Arabidopsis thaliana: one gene and its partner. The protein of the gene in region 1 interacts with the protein of each later gene in a pairwise test. Each region holds a gene or a part of one and is shown in the gene's direction. Other genes may lie near its edges.

Evidence for each region. Proteins that work in one complex are often made in the same cells at the same time.
Region 2: the proteins of CYP94B1 (region 1) and AT4G18340 interact in a two-hybrid assay, tested with the Arabidopsis thaliana proteins (one large-scale study listed by BioGRID).

What each region holds. Positions count from the first base shown.
Region 1 is NC_003076.8:25,407,258-25,414,715, reverse strand, and holds CYP94B1 (cytochrome P450, family 94, subfamily B, polypeptide 1), read left to right. Parts: upstream 1-3,990; 5' UTR 3,991-4,022; coding exon 4,023-5,729; 3' UTR 5,730-5,895; downstream 5,896-7,458. Other genes in the region: AT5G63460 (SAP domain-containing protein), read left to right, coding at 97-142, 268-303, 390-513, 639-703, 793-896, 1,076-1,111; AT5G63440 (hypothetical protein (DUF167)), read right to left, coding at 6,521-6,580, 6,781-6,849, 6,978-7,066, 7,162-7,258, 7,335-7,458. UniProt on the Arabidopsis thaliana protein: Hydroxylase involved in the oxidation of the plant hormone jasmonoyl-L-isoleucine (JA-Ile), a bioactive phytohormone of the jasmonate-mediated signaling pathway. Converts JA-Ile to 12-hydroxy-JA-Ile.
Region 2 is NC_003075.7:10,128,258-10,136,056, reverse strand, and holds AT4G18340 (Glycosyl hydrolase superfamily protein), read left to right. Parts: upstream 1-3,864; 5' UTR 3,865-4,037; coding exon 4,038-4,110; intron 4,111-4,330; coding exon 4,331-4,667; intron 4,668-4,903; coding exon 4,904-5,612; coding exon of another isoform or gene 5,613-5,645; exon of another isoform or gene 5,646-5,737; coding exon 5,738-5,812; 3' UTR 5,813-6,007; downstream 6,008-7,799. Other genes in the region: AT4G18335 (uncharacterized protein), read right to left, coding at 6,694-7,188; AT4G18330 (Translation elongation factor EF1A/initiation factor IF2gamma family protein), read right to left, coding at 7,470-7,799.

The sequences.
Region 1 (7,458 bases):
TCCTTTTGAAGTTGTTTCATCTATCTGTGTAGTAATAGCTTCTTTGTTAAAGCTTAATCATACATTTTAGTAACTTTCTTTTGTGTAAGATTTCAGGGAAGCTTGCGGGTCTACATTTGTGAGCATGACACATCTCCCCCAGGTAATTCTTTTCTTTTTTCGTTTTGTTCCACGAGTTGTTTTCTTAGAGACAGTTTCTTGTAGCAATCTCATAAAACAATTCCTTTTCATTTTCTCTCTGGGTGAGAATTGGCTACACTGGAAAAGTAATTGGGAGTCTCAGGATTATCAGTTTCAGAATAAGCTGCGTTTCAGTAATAAGTCTTTGTTTCCTGTAGAATTTTGTCTTACTAACAACTCCTAACTTATTTTGTTTGTCATATATCCAGAAGGACAGCTTATCAAAACAAACCAGCAAAATATACTAATCAGATCTCTCTTGTTAAAGAAGCAAAAAGGCGAATCTAGTTCTAAAGACTCAAAAGGAACTGCTGAAGATGGTCCTAAAAAGAGGTAACTACGACACGTGATTAGTTCTTTCCTCCCTTGCGTGACTAATCTTACTGACTGAAAATCACTAATCTTTCTTATTGCCTACATAAATGGTGTGTTCATCTATTACTTTTTCTTATTCGTAGGGCTGCAAATAGAGCTCTGGACGACAGAAGCTCAGCTAAAAGAGCTGCTAATGCATCTAGACAAGGTTATCTCTTTATACCTTTAATTCTATTTGATTTAATTTTCAAGATCGTATGTCACTTGGACTTTAAACAATGAATTTCTTCTGCACAGAAGGATCAAGCAGTCGCACAGGCGAAAGAGACTTTCAGTCTTTGACCGTTGAGAAGCTCCGCGCCATGCTCAAGGAGAAGGGCCTTCCAACAAAAGGAAGAAAGGCAAGTCACAATATATGCTACTGTTCTTTTTGAAAACTCTGTTAAAATTGTTTACAGCTTCTCAGTCTTGTACTCTCAATAGTATCTTAAAGAATCTGTCGTATGGGGTTGCTTCCAGTTCTTTGTTTATCGTGGCTCTTGTTCCACTGATTGATTATGGAACTTGACTGGTTTTGCAGGATGAGCTCATTGCGCGTCTGAAGAGTGCCAACTGAAATGAAGTTGAGAAGGGTGCTCTGGTGAATATATGTATCTTTAGAGGTTTCCCAAATAGGAGAGAATTGTTGTTGTTCTTGATCAAATACAAATCCTTTTGATCTCATCTGGAGAATTTGTTATCAGGAATTAGGCTACTTTAGTTTATGAATCCGGTTTGGTGACATTTGTAATATGGATTTCATCTTTTGATAAAGCAAACCAAACCAAACCAGGCGGTCTTGGTTAATTAAAAATGTGATGGAATTGCTTTGGGGCTGGCTATATTAAGTACAACACTATGGTCAATAGTTTAAAATCAAAGAAGAATTATAAGGCAAAACAACATTTGACCCGCAAGTGAGACATGCAAATTTTCAATTCCTGTTCACCTACCAAAAAGTGAAACCAAAATCCTTTTGTGGCGGATTTGATGAAAAAATTACAAACACAACCGTTGTATATTTTTGGTTATTAGGAGATAAAACGAAAAAAGAAAATAAATGGGGCTAAAATTTTAGTTTTATGGATTAGACTTTAGTATTTAACCGTGAAAAGCTAGTGTTGAATTTCTAAATTATTTATTAATTTTTTAAAAAAATTGAAATAATTTCTTATTCTTGATAGTAAAATGATGTCTATTTGATATAGTACCTCTCTTTTCTCCCTTTCAAAAATGAAAACAAAAGCATCATAAAAATTAGTGCGAGTCAAAACCACGAGTCTCTTGGACGGTGAAAATGAAGTTGTGAGAACGAAAAATGAAAGAGAAAGTACTTTCAAAGAAGGGCAATTCTTCTCTTTCTTTCTTTTTTTGTAGATGTCGTTATGACAAATAATTGTGTGTCAAATCAAAGCAAAGAATGGGACACTTGTGGACATTTTCTAATAAATAAGTAGAAACTCGTTGCGATGCTTTTGGTTCAGAGCTCTTGTACTTAATGGAGCCAGTTCTCCGAACGGCGCCGTTTTCTGGTCACAACGTGACAGGCTCACACCAATCTTACATATTTTCACCATATTTTGCATATGAACTAATTAATTAACCATTGGTTTTCGTTTTTTCACTCCGCATATCATCAATTATTAACGCCGGACTACAAAAGAAATGTATGCATCATTTTGTTTATTTTATAATCAATATACATAAACCACTATACCTTTCTCGTCTATTTTAATGAAATGAGTTAGTTAAAAAAGATTACTAGATAGATATTTTTTTAATGAGTAGGCAAATAAATATGAAATATCTAAAACGAAATAAAGTATAGATGAGACAAAGAGGTAAGATTGTATTATTTTTTAAAATGTGGATGATTTTCAGCCAACACGAGCTTAAAAATAAGTCAATGGAACTAGTTCCGACTTTTTTGCTCTATGAAAGAAACTCGATTTTCAAACCACGTGAACCACGTGCACGAAAACTGATAAAGATCCACTGAACTAGTAGTCACAAAAAGTGTATTTTTATTTGTTGTTCTACATACATAACGTTAATAATAATCGTGCATTCAATTGTTTCAAATTTCGGCTGAAGAATTTTATCAACGTGTTCGATCTTATCCGACACATGTCTGGTATTGGCGGATTCTCCAACCAATACTTTGTCGTCCTCATGTAATGAATTATTCGTCTGCACGCAAAGAAATTACACTTATTTAATTTAGAACTGTGATTAAATTAATATTAGAACAAACATATATGCTAGTGAGATACAGTAATCTTGATTTCAATAGTTCACTAACTTATCGACACTAGATATAGCAACAAAAATGTTGGTAGCTCAACCGATTGTAAGGATATTGTTCTAGTTGTAATCCAAATTTAAATATTGTTTAGAAAGATACACAGATTAAAAACAAATCAAATTTTATGTCCGAATTCGAATTTCGTCTTGCAAAGAGATTCCAATGTGTTTTGGTTACTTACTTTGGTCTTTGGGCATATATGCGGATCAACTCCTTAAGAAACGAAGATAATATTTATTGCAAATGCTGAGTAATTGAGTATTATATATTATTTGATGATTCCCTTGATTCAAAAAGATCTCCTAAGTATCAAAGTTCATTATTTGTCAGATCATCACTTATGTCATCACGGGCTGGACATAATTAATGATTAGAATAACTAATACTACTAGAGTTTGTTGTTTAAGTGAAAGATTCTGTTACTATTCCAGGAAGGGGCAAAAAGTTTTAATACAAGCAACATTTATAAGTTCTGATGAGAGACCACTTAACTAAATACAGTATAAAATATATTTATAATTGTTTCGTTGATGAAAATGTTTAACCTTTTCAGCGTTTGAACCGTGTCTATGTCTCTTATTATTAGTTTTGGCGGGAGACTTGGCCACCGGTTCGGTGGTAGTGGCTTGTCCAAATCAACTTAATTATACATCAATCTTCATTTCTTTGGTCCCTGTGTGATTGCCATGTTGCGTCGACATTTACTGAAAATATGTTTCAAAAACGTTTTAATTAGCTTGATTATTTCTTCCAACTGTTTAAGCAAATAAACTTGTTGATCACGTGTAACTTTTATTAATTTGATCATATCAAAGAGGATACCAAATTTTCTTATTAATATAGCCAAAATCCTTAACAATTCCAATTTATAATGGCCAAGTCCAATGTATATGTATCTATACAATAGTTCTTTACAAAAGTAGCTTATATGTTTGACAAAAGAAAAACGAGCTTACACATTTTCCATTTTAATTTTTTAATCTTTTGACGATGACATTTTCTCCATTTTGTTAAAAAAAATGAATGAAGGTGTTTGTTCATTTTACTCAAAAGTCAAAACAACTTGTTTTTTATAAATCAAAATTAGGGTTGGGATCCGACTTGAGACAATACTAATTAAGGTAAACCTTCTTAAATGAAAAAGCTTTATCGCTCAAAATACTAATCAAGTTTCAATAAAGAAATGAAAGAAAGCTTTATTAATTATGTCGTGTTCTGTACCGAAGTGATATGGTCGGAGCCACAACTTTTATTCTGTTTTTATTCTCCTATATATATAATAGTTCCTCTACAGATCAAGAACACAAATCAAAACAACATAATTAACTTACCCAAACAAGAAACCCAAGAATCCAAAATGGAAATGCTCAACGCAATAATTCTCATCCTATTTCCAATCATAGGGTTTGTATTAATCTTCTCATTCCCAACAAAAACCCTAAAAGCCAAAACCGCATCACCCTCTAATCCGACATCGTACCAACTCATCGGCTCTATTCTCTCCTTCAACAAAAACCGCCACCGTCTTCTCCAATGGTACACAGATCTCCTCCGTCTCTCTCCGTCTCAAACCATCACCGTCGATCTCCTCTTCGGTCGTCGGACTATCATCACTGCAAACCCTGAAAACGTTGAGCACATTCTCAAAACAAATTTTTATAACTTCCCTAAAGGCAAACCTTTCACCGACCTCCTAGGAGATCTACTCGGCGGCGGAATCTTTAATTCTGACGGCGAGTTATGGAGCTCACAGCGTAAACTCGCGAGCCACGAGTTTACAATGCGTTCTCTTAGGGAATTCACTTTCGAAATCCTCCGTGAAGAAGTCCAAAACCGCCTCATTCCGGTGCTTTCCTCCGCCGTGGACTGTGGAGAGACGGTTGATTTTCAGGAGGTTTTGAAGCGCTTTGCTTTCGATGTTGTATGCAAAGTGTCGTTGGGTTGGGATCCGGATTGTTTGGATTTGACCCGACCCGTTCCAGAACTTGTTAAGGCTTTTGATGTAGCGGCGGAGATCAGCGCTCGCCGCGCCACGGAGCCGGTTTACGCCGTGTGGAAAGTAAAGCGTTTCTTGAACGTAGGGAGCGAGAAGAGGTTGAGAGAAGCCATCAAGACCGTACACTTGTCTGTGTCTGAGATCATCCGGGCCAAAAAGAAAAGCCTCGATATCGGTGGTGACGTGTCGGACAAGCAGGACCTGCTGTCGAGGTTTCTCGCCGCTGGCCACGGGGAAGAAGCCGTGAGGGATAGTGTAATCAGCTTTATTATGGCGGGAAGGGATACAACGTCGGCAGCGATGACGTGGCTGTTTTGGTTGTTGAGTCAAAATGATGACGTGGAGACGAAGATACTCGACGAATTGAGAAACAAAGGGTCTTTAGGGTTAGGGTTTGAGGATTTGAGAGAGATGAGTTACACAAAAGCTTGTCTGTGTGAAGCAATGAGGCTTTACCCACCAGTGGCTTGGGACTCAAAGCATGCAGCAAACGACGACATTTTGCCAGATGGAACACCTCTCAAAAAGGGAGACAAAGTCACTTATTTCCCTTACGGTATGGGAAGGATGGAGAAGGTGTGGGGTAAAGATTGGGACGAGTTTAAACCAAACCGGTGGTTTGAGGAAGAACCGAGTTACGGTACAAAACCGGTTTTGAAAAGTGTGAGTTCGTTCAAGTTTCCGGTTTTCCAAGCCGGACCAAGGGTTTGCATAGGTAAAGAAATGGCTTTTACACAAATGAAATACGTGGTTGGTTCAGTTTTGAGTCGGTTTAAGATTATACCGGTTTGCAATAACCGGCCGGTCTTTGTTCCTCTTCTAACCGCTCACATGGCTGGTGGGCTAAAGGTGAAGATCAAGAGGAGAGAGCAATGTGATTCGATGTATATTTAATTAATTGATTAATCAAGTCATGTCCTTGTAGAATATCCAACTAATATGTAAAATGTGTGGTTTATAAATTAAATCAAATAAATATATTATATATGTGTGGGATTCACAGTTTACTTGTGAATAGAAAAATTAAATATAAATCAGTATGTCGTCTTATCGAAGTGGATGCAATATATTAATCAGTTTGATAGACATAGGTCACGCATTAAACACTTTCTGGAAGTATATGTATGTCTCTAATATTAATAAATAGAGATTGGGGCAGATATATATAATTACAAACTAGCTAACTGTGTCTGTGACGATTGGTCCGATACAGCGATGAAATAGAACTGAAACATGTGAAACATGTCACAGTACAGTCACCTTTGGACTACACAAATATATCTTATTCTTAAGCTTAATTAGTGCAATAGTGATCGTTTTATTCTGCAGATTATACACTGAAAATTTGTTTTTAATAACAGGTTTTTGAAATTAGTGCAGACATATATATAAAGATTTTCAAACTTTTTTTCATATGACTTCAATTTCGAATGGTCCGAAATAGATAAATCAGTTTTGAAGGAATCTAAAGAGTATAGACGATTATTATAACTTTTAACAATAGGGGATTGTATAAAAAGAGTTAGTTGTCGCATAAGCATGAAAACAAAGAAGAAAGCAATTTGTTTATAGCTATCTTTCTCAAGTAAAATACGAAAACTCGTTCTTCATACCAATAAAGGGTGTTAACTAAGGAGTTGCAGAGATTTCAGCTAATGTCGTTCACCAACCACAAACCGCAGTTTTTACGGTACAACGGCCTCGAGAAGCTTCTCATACACTTGTCTAGCTGATAAATCCTCGACCTGGTTCAGGGGAACAAAAATCAGAATGGGTTATTCATTCAATGCGACAACCTATTTTTGATCACCACTATTAGAGGTCCTTGTGCCATTAGTATAAAAGCCAAAACCTTATCATCTAGAGCTAAGAAAAACAATAAGAGTTTTTAGAGATGAATCTTCACAAAGTCTTCTCAAGAGACTCAAAGGAAGGATCAACGTACCACGAGGAGTTTTGATTTGCTATTCCAACCTCTTTGGAGAGTCATCTGGCTCAACCTTAAACCAAGAACCTGAAAGAGTAAAAACACAGAGGTCGTGTCGCGTTGGTCAAAAAACCTCATTTTCACATACAAAATATGAAACGCCGTGACTAGAGTATAAATCTTAAAAAGTGATTAATAACGGATTGATTTGGTACCCTTCCCATGAATTCCAGAAGCTCGTTGTTAGCTTCCCCACGGGCTGCTGGTGCAGCAACAGTCACACGAACATCATCAGCATTTACCCCTGCAGAGAGAAAAAAGAGTATGGCAATTGTTTAATCGAAGATCCATGTCAAGTGAGTAAGAAAATAGATTTTGTGCCATAATACTATGTTTTACTTGTGATTGCTGAACGTTGTGCACGGTCTTCCACTTCTATTGCAACCTGAACAAGTCCACCGTCGAGTTGTGAAATGCAGGGAGGTACTGGTGCATCCTGTGTGCCGCCACAACAGATTAGTGATCTAGTTTTTGATCTTGGAATTGAAAAGATTATAAGAAACCAATTGTACCTGTGGGTTGGTTTCTGCAGCAACAGCACTAAGTGCTCCATCAACAATGTAAATGAAAGACGCTGTTTCCAGATTCTCTTCAGCACGATAACAAACAAAAAGCTCACAACCGATACAGTTCATT
Region 2 (7,799 bases), on another chromosome or scaffold:
GGATTTATCATTTTAGACTCGTCTCCGTTTTTTTATTTGTCATTGTAATAGGGTAAGTAATAATCATTGAATATGTGTCTAATTTGTTTAAATACAATTCTCTGATACATGCAAAACTAAAATTCTAGAATCGAAAATGCCTAAAAGCTCATGACATCAGACAAGTTGACAAAACAAAATACAACTAAAACCAACGATAAGCTGTCCCCTAATAATATAAAAATTTGAACTTTCAATATAAATTTCTAAAATATTACGTGTCTTATCCTTTAATGTCGCACCCAAATTTACATACTTTTTATAAAATATTTCGAAATTCTCATTTTCTTGTCGTTAACCAAAAAAGATGGAGTAAAAAGAGAAACATACACATAGATTTAAGGCCCTTTTTACGTATGCGCGTCATAAATGAAAAACACTTTGATTAGTATAAGAACATTTAAATTTTAACTACTATAAAGAAAAAAAAAGCACACGTAAAAGCTTTTAGCCATGCATGCACGATGTTTACTGGTTATCGAGAAAGCATTATCGTTGTTGGATAAGACATTAACTTTCCTCTCCTATATGATCATAAAGCTTGTTTTTCTTCTTCATAAATCTTGCCGCTTAATCCTTATCCATTATCCACCAAAAATTCAATTTTGTAGGCAGCTTTATGAAATAATGCTTTACACCATTTTGACTCGATTATAAGTATTATATATATCCACTATTCGAAATGGCCCACGATATCTGTATTTTAATATGACGTCAAATATCTTATTTTGTCTAATGAATCCAAACTAAGTACAGTATGTGAATCTTGGTAATATATGTATATAGAGTTCAGTTCAAATATAAAATACAAGTGTATGACGTCAAAAAGAATTTTTAGATACGTTATAGGCTCATTATTTAACTATATGTTCACTTTGGTGCAGCTTAGTATCTTTTATGCAGATATAATTTGAATTTTTGATCTGGTGAACTATATATTGTTAAGTAAAAAAAAAAACATGTCGGTCCAACCCAACCTAGACCTGTCAAGCATGTTTAATGATGGTTTGGCCTGATCCATTTGTTAAACAGTAGGTAAAATTTGCAATCTTTTTTTTTTTTTGTTTTTTTTTGATTTTGCAATCTTCTCCCTTATCTACACTGTTCTCTTTAAGAAACCCGCTATAACACTTCCCGAATCATTCATGCGGGAGAATTCAAAGGTACCTTAATATTACCACCTTCAAACCAATTCGCACATGGTCCAAGTTGGAAATGGTTAACCAATTTAGTTACCTATCACTATCAAATTCCCACAGTTGGGTGTGATGCATCATACATTTGCAAATGTCCAACATGGAAATCCGAATCAAGTAAACCCTATATATACTCTATTTTTCATGCGTTAAAAGGGTTAAACCCTTTCTTTGAAGAAACTTAACCTTTGTTCAAAAACATTGATATCGTTGAGTACTTGTGTTGCTTTAAAAAGCTTTCATGTCATTTTATTTGCATATTCGATATTGTAAATAAATTGCAGATTAAATGGCATATTCTTTCAATCCGAGCTAAAACAAAATCATTCTCTTTTTCTGTCTGCTGTTTCAAACTTGCTGGACAATTATATGATCTTTCTGATTTGGACATTAAAATATCCACAGATAACGTAAACTTGAAATATTCTGCAACCAAAAATATGTCCATTCAGTAAATAATTAACAAACTAGATCATATTCATGAAGAACTAAACCAGAATCATTAAATTTAAACATTAGAAATAAATTAAAACTTGTGTCATATACTCGATAATAAATCAAATTATCTTTAACTTTACACATATAGGCCTATATAAAACAATCTGTTCGGCCGTGTATGGTATATAGTTACGTCATTATCAAATTAATCTATATGGAACTGCCATAAGTCGACCGGTGGTCAATCCTAAGCCACGAAATCAAACTTTTAAACGACGAACTAAAAGTTTTCAGCCAACTATAAACAGGCCACTCTGAATAATTGACTGATTTTGACTCCTTTCCACATATTTAATTCCAACATCGAACGATTACATTTTTAATTGCAACAAGTTCAATAGCTTGAGACGGGTATATTTCTTATAAGTTGTATACATGTGTTCAAATAAAATGGCTCTTGGTGTCGTGAAAAAGAGAGAAGATTTAATATTATAGAATCGAAAAGAAGACACTAGGGTATTTTGGATTAGATCAATACAGCCAAAAGTTCCACTTTAAATTAATGTAATTTTCTGGCTAGCCAACCTTTCGAGAAAACGAATTGACTATCGTCTACGTGATCAAGTTTAACCCTTTATATTTTACCATTTAAAAATATAGTAAGTAGAAATTAATTGATTAACAAATCAATAGCCAACCAAGCGAAAGCACTTACTATTTCTTAAATAAGTTTTGTTGGGGTTTATTATGTCAGGTGATTAAAAAACAACCGATGGTTGAAATTGACCGACGGCTCCAAGTGTGTGACACTGCCCCGCCAACTTGTCTAATTCCCCTCGAAAGCATATTAGCAACATTATCCCAATTGACCATTTTATTTTACTTTTGTTATGCTAATGCTTTTAGTTATTTGTCAATTTATACATTATCATATTTGTCTTGTTTTATTTTACAAGTGCCTCAAAATTAAGCATGATCCTTTTGTCTAAAGGAAAGTAAGTATATCCCTTCTCTATCATCTTAATCCGAATAACAATATATTTGAGATTTTTTCTTGACAATTAATGGCAAATTATATTACGACTTATATATCTTTCACGAATACAATTTTGGATATCCCGTTCTTGATAACTTTCGAGGACTTGTATGAATTTCCGTCCAAAAGCCTCGGATTACAAAAAGAAAATAAATATGTGATATATGTTTATTTGTATGTATTATATTTCCCGGGAGATTTGAAAATATTAAACTTTAAAGGAGAAACGGAGGAGGCTTCCTCAGTGTACTATTGAATCCTTTGACACGTCAAGTCAAATCGGATCTCCAATTAGCTTTTGTCTAAAGAAATATAGTAAGGTTTGTTTGTCATATTAATTAGGCTAGGATACACTTGCGGTCAAGATTCATGCGAAAATGTAATCATTATTCTTCGAATTTGAATTAGCATTAAATTAATCATAATTAACACGTGATTAGTAAAATCAATGATTCAGATAAATTAGATAATAATATTAATAGTAGTAAAAGTTAATAAGAAAAATAAAGACCATTTTTGTGGGACTAATAACCCATTATAAAATTTCTTTTGTCATGAAGTTTTAGCTGAAAATTTGATATTTTACCTTTCATGATTATTCTACAAGACATGATTATCTATTAAAATTTCATTGTGTTAATATTAATTTTTATACCACGTCTTTTTCTCCATGATTATCGTAGAATAAACTTTTGGTGTATAGTACAAGTTTGTTTTAAGTCACGACTCACCTACTTAATTGAAACGAATATTTTAATATTTTCCGGTGCTTTATGAAACTTCTTCAATATTCTATACACGTCCACTTATGTGTATCCCAATCTCTTCTTAATTTAATAACATTGCTCACTTTTTTTACCAACCCAACAGTTAACACCACTTGTATAGTACATGTAATTAAACGAAACACACAAACAACGTATTTCCTTCCATACATGTGCATGCAAATTGTCTTGTCATAGAGTCTGCATTAATCTAGCTATATGATAAATAACTACATACAAATATTTTAAAACCTAATAATTTTCTTTAATAAGAAATCCTTCGTTGTGGTTTATAGAAAGCCGTCAGTGGATAAAAAAGGCATAAATGAGAAAAGCAATATAGGGAGGCAAAGCTAAACAATTTAAAAACACTTTTTTTAAAAAACATAAACTTCAACACTAAACCTTTTCACAACAAAAAACACGGAAAAAAAACAAACAAGCGAAGAAAAGTATTCTTCACCTTGGTTGGCTTATTGTGTATGTCTATAAATATTCCATTAAACACTTCTCTTAAAACCCAAAACCTTCACAATCTCTTTCCCTCCCTCTCTCTTCCTCAACATGACATCAAGAACATTCACAAGACATTCCAGTCTCATTCATGTTTTTCTCCTGCTTTCTCTCGTTTTCTCAGGTTATTTTCTTTTTCATTCTGAAATTTTAAAACCAAATTCTTAACACTTAAGTTATGCTTTACGTTGCCGCCTTAAAACCTCAACGTGTAAGATTTTAACATAGTGAAATAACGGATCGATAATAAGTCTAGAATTCATTTTTTCAATGTTTGTTTAATGGAATATTAAAGATTTTTGGCATTGTTTTCTAAAAGTTCGATTCTTTGTTTGGAAATATAGGGAATATACTACAAACAGTAACGTCTCTTGGCATCAATTACGGACAAGTTGGGAACAATTTGCCTTCACCGGATAAAGTCATTAACCTCTTGAGATCTTTAAGGATCACAAAAACAAGAATTTACGACACTAACCCTCAAATCCTTAGTGCCTTTGCAAATTCAAACATCGAGATCATCGTCACCATCGAAAATCAGGTTTTACCATTACTACAAGATCCTCAACAAGCTACCCAATGGGTAGATTCTCACATTAAACCCTATGTTCCGGCCACTAGGATTACCGGAATTATGGTCGGAAACGAGCTTTTCACCGACGACGACTCTAGTTTAATAGGGTAAGTACTAATCGTTGAATATTAGTCTAATTTGTTACATGATCACAGAATTAGTTTTTTTTCATTAACTGATTTCACATTTTCTTGACTACCACTTGGTCAAATGTAACGAACTCCTTCGAAAAAAATATTATATTTATTAAACTCCACTTTGAATTTCAATAAGAAATGAGTGTAATAGTTTTTGTCCAATAATTGCTAATTTTGACTATATTCTCTCCTCTTTTTGGTAATAGATACATGATGCCGGCGATAATCAACATCCACAAAGCCTTGGTCCAATTAGGTTTAGATAGATACATTCAAGTCTCGTCTCCAAGCTCTCTTGCCGTCCTCGGTGAATCTTATCCTCCATCTGCCGGAAGTTTCAAGCCGGAGGTTTCCTCCGTGATGCAACAACTTCTAGATTTCTTGGAAGCCACGAAATCTCCTTTTTGGATAAATGCTTACCCTTACTTTGCCTACAAAGATAACCCACAAGAAATCCCAGTCGATTACGTTCTATTCAACCGTAACATCGGCATGACCGATCCCAACACAAGACTACACTACGACAACATGATGTATGCTCAAGTTGACGCAGTTGCTTTCGCGGCTGCGAAACTAGGGTACCGTAACATAGAAGTTAGGGTTGCGGAAACAGGGTGGCCTTCAAAAGGAGATGTCGGAGAGATTGGAGCGTCTCCTGTGAATGCTGCCACGTATAACCGGAATCTTATGATGAGGCAATTCGCCGGAGAAGGAACTCCAGCGAGACGGAATGCAAGACTCGATGTTTATATATTTGCGTTGTTCAATGAAGATATGAAACCAGGTCCTACTTCGGAGAAAAACTACGGTATATTCCAACCAGATGGATCATTAGCTTACAATTTGGGATTCTCTACAATGTCGACAACGACGGCAAATTCAGAATCTGTCACTTATTCATCCTCTGCCACTAAGGTACGATTAGTATTATGTGGTGAATTTTGTTAGAATTTGGAATTATTGGGGCCACGACGAGAATAAGTTTGTGAAAGGACTAGATGTGCAAAATGAATTAATTCTCTGTTTTCTTCTTCTTTCAGGCAAAGAGGAGCTTGGAGTATTGGACAATTTTGATATTGGCGATGGTTCAAGTTGTAATGTTGAGACTATTTTAGAGGAAAAGTTATTGACAATATAATAACGCGATTGTTTAGGATATTTATGTAAACAATTTAATTATAAGCTTGATAAATATAATTTATATTCAATTCAACATTCAAATGAAGTCGGTCAATAGTGAAAATTCTAAATTTATTGTTGTCGTTAACAAGTAATTGACATATATAATAAAGAAACAAAGTTTACTTTTTAAGAAAAACTTGTCGTATATGAAAAGGTTTGAGTAAGTAGTAACTTTGACCAAAAGGCATATAATCGATAACCAGTAGCGGTTTAGAATCAACCATATATTTTTTTCCCTCTAATTCAAGAAATATGGCATAGCTTAATTCATTTGTATATGTTGTTGGATATTTTAAATACAATCCCTAGCTAGTTATATAATATAGATATTAGAATGCAAACATATGCATTGGAGTGGACGGTACGAAGAATTGGAACTGAAGCTAAGAAAAAAAAGCCATGAAACAAGAGCTTATGCTCACGATGCAAATTCACATGCTCATTTCCAATTATATCGGCTCAATATACTCCCTTGTTCTTGCCACAAACGATGCGTTTTGACCTTGAAAACATAGACACATATGCTTTTTTCTCTCCATATATTATTTTACCGATCAGTCAAGTTTAGTTTTATAGAATAAAATAATTCAGCTGCACGTAAGGAAAAATAAGTACTTTCTGAAAAATCAAAGGACACGAACAATCAAACATTAGTATGCAAATTATTTTCATACACTTGACCGTCAAAAATGCACTGATCAATGCACCGGTCATTCCGAACAAAAAAGAAAAAAAAATCTTTAAAAGATGAAAAATACAAAAGTGCGACGAGAGGAACAAAATCGTTTCACGTACGACGTATCGGCAACGATATCTAGGGTTGTGTAGAAAGATCGCAAAAGAGAGTAGTAGCGGAATTAGGGTTCTGGTTATGGCATGGAGATGAACCGGAAGGAGGTACGAATCCTTTGGGAAGCATAACCGAGAAAGTATCCTGTCGAACCGGACGGTTTAAACCGTTATTCTTCTTGGCCATCATCTTGAAGTAGCCAGCACGATGATGAAGACCACGGCGATGACGAAGAGTATGTCGATAGTAGTAGTAGTATTGGTGATTGTAACGACGACGACGGTGGTTGTCTCGTTGCAACCGCTGGTTCAAGATAAACGGTGTCGTTTTCTTGATGTAGACGAGTTGGTGCGGTGATTCGTAACCGTTGAGATAAGCTTCCGTTTTTTGTGTTGATGATACTCTTGTTTCTTGATTCGAAGATGATGATGATGGTGAGATGAGGAAGACGAGAGTGAGAATAAGAGAGACGATGAAGCTTTTTAGAAGACTCTGTTTCATCAAAACCAAATCTTCCATTGGGATTGAAAGAGAGTATAGGGTTTTGGCTGAGAGTAAGAGAGAGCGTAAAGATGAAACAAAAGCTCAGAACGAGGAGGGAATTAGAATTATATAATTCCTAATTAGTGATAAGTAATATCATTAATGAAATTATGAATTTGTTTTTTAAATTTTCGTCAATGTTGTGTTAAATATGAATATAGTTTTATATTGTAGTCGAAAGAAAGTGATTAAACATACAAAGGCACATGTTAATTATTTTTGAATGCAAACAATATAAAAAACTCATCACTACTTCATTAGAAAGGAGGAGGAGGAACATCGATGGTGGTTCCAGCCATAATCTGACCCTTACCAATTAGACGCCAATGCCTATCGACACGTCGGCTTAAAGCAACCTTCTCTCCTATGGTGGTACACACCGGAGACGTCAGTTGGAGTTTCACCATATCTTTCTTGACTCCAATAACCTTAGCTCCCGTAGACATAGACCCGATGTTCACCATCAATATCTCTTCTTTGGTTAGCTTTGACACTTTCATTTGCTTCTCTTTTTCCTTTGTCCTCACTCCAATGAGACGAGTCAGAAGCTGGTAACTTACTTCAAGCTCAACAAAGACGTCAGGGAG